Danio rerio: one gene and its partner. The protein of the gene in region 2 purifies or fractionates together with the protein of the main gene of each other region. This does not show direct contact. Links are inferred from orthologs where the notes say so. Each region holds a gene or a part of one and is shown on either strand. Other genes may lie near its edges.

The links.
Region 1: the proteins of phf10 (region 2) and bcl7a purify together in Homo sapiens (affinity purification with mass spectrometry; 3 studies listed by BioGRID and IntAct, counting the BioPlex papers as one, with this or other methods). This does not show direct contact. The link is inferred for Danio rerio from reciprocal best matches to the Homo sapiens genes PHF10 and BCL7A.

Annotation. Positions count from the first base shown.
Region 1 is NC_133180.1:42,613,602-42,617,358, forward strand, and holds the start of bcl7a (B-cell CLL/lymphoma 7 protein family member A), read left to right. Parts: upstream 1-1,482; 5' UTR 1,483-1,547; coding exon 1,548-1,639; exon of another isoform or gene 1,640-2,478; coding exon of another isoform or gene 2,479-2,480; intron 2,481-2,559; coding exon 2,560-2,641; intron 2,642-3,037; coding exon 3,038-3,134; intron 3,135-3,519; coding exon 3,520-3,675; coding exon of another isoform or gene 3,676-3,693; intron 3,694-3,757. Other genes in the region: cfap251 (cilia- and flagella-associated protein 251), read left to right, coding at 964-1,085.
Region 2 is NC_133188.1:6,026,643-6,030,136, forward strand, and holds part of phf10 (PHD finger protein 10), read left to right. Parts: intron 1-1,149; coding exon 1,150-1,258; intron 1,259-3,404; coding exon 3,405-3,494. UniProt on the Homo sapiens protein: Involved in transcription activity regulation by chromatin remodeling. Belongs to the neural progenitors-specific chromatin remodeling complex (npBAF complex) and is required for the proliferation of neural progenitors.

The DNA of each region.
Region 1 (3,757 bases), on a different chromosome or scaffold from region 2:
TCACTTCATTTTCATAACCGGTCACTTTCGTTTTCTCATTGGGGTTGAGGGCGGCGTGATTGTCCTCTGCCTAGAGCGGCAGTTCAGCTTGCTCCGGCCCTGTGTGGGAAGCACCAACATGTTTTATCATGCTAAATGCATTTTAAGGTTCTGTTATAATGCTGCTTTGTGAGCTCTAACAAAACACAAAACATGTTAAACATCTTTGGTGTTTCCCACTACATGTTTTCTATAAAACCAAACCAAGGGTGGTCAAGGGTATTTGACATAATTAGCATGGGAACACAGGACATGGTCCTTGTCACTAAAACTGCTTATTTCTTTGGACTTAAACATTTTTGAAAGCATTACCAGAAAATAATAAAAAATATATAACACTATGAAAAGGCGACACGGTGGCTCAGTGGTTAGCACTTTCACCTCACAGCAAGAAGGTCACTGGTTTGAGTGCCAACTGGGTCAGTCGGCATTTCTGTCTGAAGTTTGCATGGTCTCCCCGTGTGGGCGTGGGTTTCCCCCACAGTCCAAAGACATGCGCTATAGGTGAATTGGGTAAGCTTAATTGTCTTTTGTGTGAGTGTTTCTGAGTTTGTATGGGTGTTTCCCAGTACTGGGTTGCAGCTAGAAGGGATCCGCTGTGTTAAAAATATGCTGGATAAGTTGATGGTTCATTCCGCTGTGGCGACCTCAGATTAATAAAGTGACAAAGCTGAAGAAAATTGAATAAATTAATAAATGAACATGTTCATTTACACGTTCATCTTACATGTTTTGCCTTTACATTGTTGGTTATGTTTTGGGTTAAATCATAGGCAAGTGAATGTGCAAATTAGCGTCTTTGCTAATAATGCACTCACATATATAACCTCTGCAATGTTAAAGACTATTTGGCTAAAATACATTATGATTTTCAAAATGTAGCAATCTTTTGATCTCAACAAACGTTACTCTTTCTCCTTTCAGGGTCTCTGTTGGAAAGTGTGCTTCCAGCTGAAATCACCATGGACGCATTTGCCTCAGATATATTGGGCTTTTCTGTCGCCACCCAGGAGCTCCATCAAGAACACCACGGACAGGAGTCATAATATATTTACATTTCCCTGCTTATGTTCATGCGTTGTCAATAAGTAATGTATTTTAAAACAGATGGACTGTTATTGTGTGGTTAGCGAGCTGTTGTGTTATATGTTTGCGTTCAATTCTTTCGCATAGAGATAAAATCATACGAAAATAAAACATGTCGTTTGTCAACATGCTGTCGATTGAAGTCTCCATTTTTTCCAGATACATTTATAAAACGTGTGTTGATGTCGTGGTGCTGGTTTCGATTCGCTCGTCTAGCTCAGCAATCTGATAAAATATCGTTTTCTTTGCTCTGTTCGCCAACAAAGGAGCGAAACGCGTACCCGCATTGACCGTGTCTCTCATGCTTCGAGGGCATTTGGCTTCAGCGCAGGCGCACAAACCCCGCCTCTCTCCTGTGCTGTGTGCATTCGCATTGTGTCTAAACAGGCAGCGAGCAAAAAGATATTTTACCAACAGCAGTAATGTCGGGCAGGTCGGTTCGAGCGGAGACGCGGAGCAGGGCGAAAGATGACATCAAGCGGGTTATGGCTGCAATTGAAAAAGTGCGGAAATGGTAAGAGAGAGCGTCTATCCGTTAACGAACAGCACAGACAGCCTGTGGGGGAGGAGAGACACCGAGAAACAATGAAATGAAAGCGAAGAGAGCGTTTATTCCACTCCAATTTCACTCAGATGTACTGTTTCTGCGATTCTGCGCGCGGCTGCTCCTTTGTCGGCTGTGTGAAAACATAGTTTGGGAAAATGTAGATCGCGTTTTTTCTTCCATTAAATTTTTATGTGGGTTGAACCTAGAAGCCATTTCGTTGCAGTCACATGAAGGCTTTGCTGTTAGAGCCTGTAATGCCGGCTGAATAGTAACCGAACGGGCTGACATGAGGAAACTAGAGTGAACCGTCCGTACCGAACAGAAAGTGCCGGTGAACGGGCGTTTGACTCGTTCATCTCGTGTTGAAAGTGAGAGAGTCGCGCTTTGAGCGGCGGCGCGTGAGGAGAGTTTGATCCACGCGCGGGGTTTTAAACTCAGCCCTGAGCCGCAGTTTCACATACACTTTTTTACACTTCAAGCAACTGCTGGGGATTTCGTTTAAACTTAAGTTTAAGTTGAATTAAGGGTTTTCAAACCATGACAAATTATTTGTTGGACTAACAATAATTACCAAAACAATATTTATTCTATAAAAGTATACATGTTAAATGAGAAACAATCGTGTTTTTGTGGCAACGTGCGATTAAAATTGTACACATCTGTGAGCTAGTGAACTGCATTATTATTAGTATTTATTTTTATGATAATAATTATTTACTATTGATATCGATAATTTGTTCAGTTGCATATTCTGCAAATGCATCTTGCCTAAATAATGGCTCATCTGAGATTTCTTATGCCTCTAAATGTAAGTGATTTAGTGGTTTGTCCTCATTTGTCTGGCGTTTCCTTTGTCTTTGATATCTAACAATAACATGCATCTCCAGGGAGAAGAAATGGGTGACTGTTGGTGACACGTCACTGCGAATCTACAAGTGGGTACCAGTGACGGAGCCCAAGTCAGATGATGTAAGTGACATTTATTTACAATAACGCACAGCTGTTGCAGTTTTGATAACCTAATAATTATTGTAACATTATGGACCACAACCAACAAATTCATTTGAAAGTTGGAACAAAATAGTCAAGGTAAAATATGACGCAAATGACTTTTTAATGAGTAATTCTATAGTTATTATTTTTTTAATTTAGTAAAGGTAAATTAGTAGTGGTATTCGTTGAGGGGGAAACATATTTCAGTTGTAGCATAACACAGACCAGTATTATTGTTTTTAACAGAGATTAAATTCATATTTATTTTAAATAAAATAAGTTAACTAAAATGAGTCGTATTTAAAACAGACACAACATATTTTACTATCTTCTTCATATGCCTTGATTGCAATATGTATTTATGTCACACAGAAGAACAAAAATAAGAAGAAAGGCAAAGATGACAAGTATGGCTCTGAGGTCACGACCCCTGAGAACAGCTCCTCTCCTGGAATGATGGATATGCATGGTAAAACTGTACACCTAAACACATCTCAATGTTTTACCTTTTTCAAATTAGTATTACATGCAGTAGTCTTTAAACCAATTTATGTGAGAATTTCAAATTGTGTTCTTTGTGATCCTCAAACAGTTGGTCTAATATGCATGACTAAGATTTTGAAGTGTTACCTGCTTTTTATTAGAAAAAAATCATTATTATAATTATTAATGATGGCAGCTTTGAATGTGCATTTTTTCCTCTTAACCAATAGAGGGAGTTGATGAAACAGTTTTACTCTGTGAACTGGTTATTTGCTATGCTATTCCGACCTGTAACCACCTATTAACAGTTACAAATGCATGGACATTTTCAGATATTAAAACTTTTTTTGTTTCTATTTTTTTACCCACAGATGACAACAGTAACCAGAGCTCGATTGCGGACTCTTCCCCATTGAAGCAGGAAACCAGCAACAACACTAGTCCAGCACCTGAGCCCATGGCCGCTTCTCAGAATGACAGCAGTGACTTGAAAAACGACCAGTATCCTTCCAAACAGCCTTCATCTGGTCAGGATCATAAGAGTGGTTTGTGCATTGAATCCTCTAGAGGCTTACTATCCACTTGTCTGTGTTTTTGGTTTGTTTGTTT
Region 2 (3,494 bases):
GAATGGATTGCTTTTCATACAAAGCATGGGAATTTTAAATAGGGCTGGCCGATTTAATCGAGACGATTTTTTTATGCACATTTTGTCAGTAAAGCCGGTTCTAGTAAAAACGCGTTTAGATCAGGGGGGCCCAAACTTTTTCTTTTGAAGGGCAAAAATAAAAACAAACTTAAGGGCTGTGGGCTGGAGGTTAATATTGCAAAATGTATTAAAGCTGATTTATAATTCGGCCTGCCTTGCGCATAGCTGTGCATAAATACTTCTTTGCGTTGTTTCTGTTGCTCTGCAGTAACACCTCCGAAACGCTAGCAGGCAGTAGGTTTTTATGTTCCTCTGTGTTGAGTTTCTTCGCTGGTGTTTTTGTTTTCTTTCTGAATGCTACTTTAATGTACAAGTAGCTCAAACTAACTCATTTTGAGGCGGGAATCAGCAGACGTGCAGCAACTTTAATCATAAGGTAAACACAAAACAACAATTTCCATCCGGAGCGCCTTCATGGAACTCCACACTTGTAAACAATCGCTCCATCAGGCTCGCGCGGCTCTCACCTCCACCCACACTCGTCAGCACTACCAAGCCGAACAATCCCAGAGCTTGCGTTATGCATCATTGCGATGTGTAGTTTCATTTTTTCAGCGTCGACGCCGGCCACACAGAAGTATAAATCAGCCTTAAACCGAAAAGAAAATAAATGAATGTATGAATGTGGTGTGCAAATAAATTTTTTGGGGGGTAATAATTTTTTTGCCAAAGCTACATTTTTGTCGACTTCGGTGTCATGTCCTACAGAAGCAGATTTTCATTTAATAATAATAATAATATTAATAAATTATATATTTATATATATATTTATCTTAGTGACTAAACTTTAAGCAGTGACCTATTGTATATTTCATATATTTTCTGTATACTTAATGTAAAATGCAGATTATTATTATTATTTTTTGTCTTTCTTGTTTGTGTATTATTATATATGCGTTAAGTCTTTTTAATTGAAATTTGGGCAATTTCTATTGTTTTTAGCCTAATTTGCTCTGGTAAGTTCTGCTGACGAGCTGTAATTGTAAAAATGTTATTGGTTGAAGCATATCACATGGTGTGTATGTCCTTGGTTGCCTTGGCGTTTATAGCATTACTCTGCCCTTGCAGCCTAAGGTCATTCCCAATGCTATATGTGGCATATGTCAGAAGGGTAAGGAGGCCAACAAGCGAGGCAAACCAGAGGCTCTCATCCACTGCTCCCAGTGCCAAAACAGCGGTAAGTCAAAAGCAGCTCTTTCTGAAGCAGTCCTTGCTTTTCAGTTTAAATGGCACCTTCTGAAACAAGTAGTATAAAACACAAAAAACGAAATCGAAAATCATTTTAGTTTTAAAATACATGTTTTAATTCAAAACTCTAGGTTCTAGTTATTAGTAATTTGTATCTGCTATTATAAGTAGGACATAAAGTTGCGGTAACACTTTATAATAAGGTTCTGTTAATTAGTTTGACACAACCGTCCTGGATGTACTTTATCCTGCTTATTACACAAATACTTGACACGAAAACATAAATATTAGACACAAAACATCTGAGCCGTAATAGTTTATTCAATCTTTAATTAAATGCAAAGCAGACCGAAACAAAAACGGCTGATGGAGTATACACTAACCTGTGAGTAATTCAGACACAATATTGTGACAAACTGTCAACAATGCAAAGTTTGACCGAAACAAAACTAGCTGCATAAAGCATAGACTTACCTATGTATTATTAACGGTTAAAAGCCGAGGCATGATAGACAAGCAGATACATATGAACGTAGGTATAATTATTTGGATGTGACAGCCTGATCTCTGGCGTTTTGTCAGTTTAGTGAATTTGTACGAATTCAGTCTTCTGAAATTGTAAAATTTTTAAAAAGGAGGTGTGGCAACCTACTGCGCCCCTAAACCCAATCGTCACTCGTAAATTGATGAGCAAATTGTATGAATAAGATGGTACAAATTCATACGAATTGGCCACTAAATCAAAAAGTTACGAATTGCCGTGAGAACGTGTTGCATGTGAACGTATTCGCTGACCCTGAAGGTGATTCAAAATTTTCTGCGTTAAGCCATTGTTAACTAAGAATAACATACTGAATATTGTCACTGGCCAATCAGAATTGAGTATTCAAGACAGCTGTGTAATGAGTAAGGGATAAAGTACATCCAAGCGCAAAATGAAGGCCCGACAGGCTAATCAGCTGCCTGACGTTAAACGGAGCACTGTTGTATAAGACTGAAGGGCTTTAATCTGCGAAAATCATGCAACAGGATATAGTTTATCCCATTTATTTCATGGCGACATTTCACAATATGTACAAATTGGACAGAACTGTTTTGAAACATGAGTTGAATAATTCTTTAAATAAAAGCAAAGCTGACAGAAACGAAAACGGCTGAATGGAGCATACACTAACCTACGTATTATCTTGTCGCAAAATGGCGCCAGAGACAGACAAGCATATAAATATGGAGGTAAACGCATTCACTGACAGTCAAGATGATTTGAAGTACCTAGATGAGCCTGTGTTATTAGTTTAAGTGGTTGTTATCTGGGAATAGCATGCCTTGGGATGCAGCGACTGACTAATCAGAATTGAGTATTCCAAACTGCCGTGTAATAATGATCTACTAACATGAACAGTTTATTACAGTGGTAATTAATCTTTGTATTTTAAATTTTGGGTTTTAATAATGCATCAGTGAATGTTGAACTGTGATTAATAAATGCCATGCAAGTATTCTGCGTTCATGTTCGTAAATACGTTTAACGTTAACAAATAGAACCTTACTATGAAGTGTGATATTTTTTGTGTATGCTTTTTGAGTGTTTTAATCCGTTTTATACACTTGTGTTTCTGACTTAAACGGAATATTGAGTAGGGTGCGGGGCTTTCTTTTTGCGCATCATTCCCTCATAGAAAACTAATGGTGAGAGGGGCGTGGTTAAGAATACTGTGGCCGAACCATCAAACTGACATCATCAAACACAGTTCAAACACAAGCAAGTGCTCAGATGATTACCAATAAACTTTTTTCAATGGATTACCTTGCGTACGTTAATTGTTTATTTAAAAATAAAAATGTGCGTTAGCAAATTGTTTACATTTTGATTTACCTTTTGATTTCGAATATGTTTTAGATTTTTGAATACATTTTGATTTTACACGCATTTTAATATATACAGCACTCTGTTTTTAAAGCCTTTTCATCATCCTGTTGATAAAAAAAAAAAGTTCTCGTGTATCATTTCTTAAGTTTCTGCTTGCTGGAAAAGATACGTTTTTGTGTGAATGGCTAATGATGATGATGATGATGATGATGATGGTGATGGTGATGGTGATGGTGATGGTTATGATGGCCTTGTTTGTGCTCAGGTCACCCGTCCTGCTTGGACATGAGTGTGGATCTGGTGGCCAAGATCAAGATGTACCCGTGGCAGTGTATGGAGTGTAAGACGTGCACCG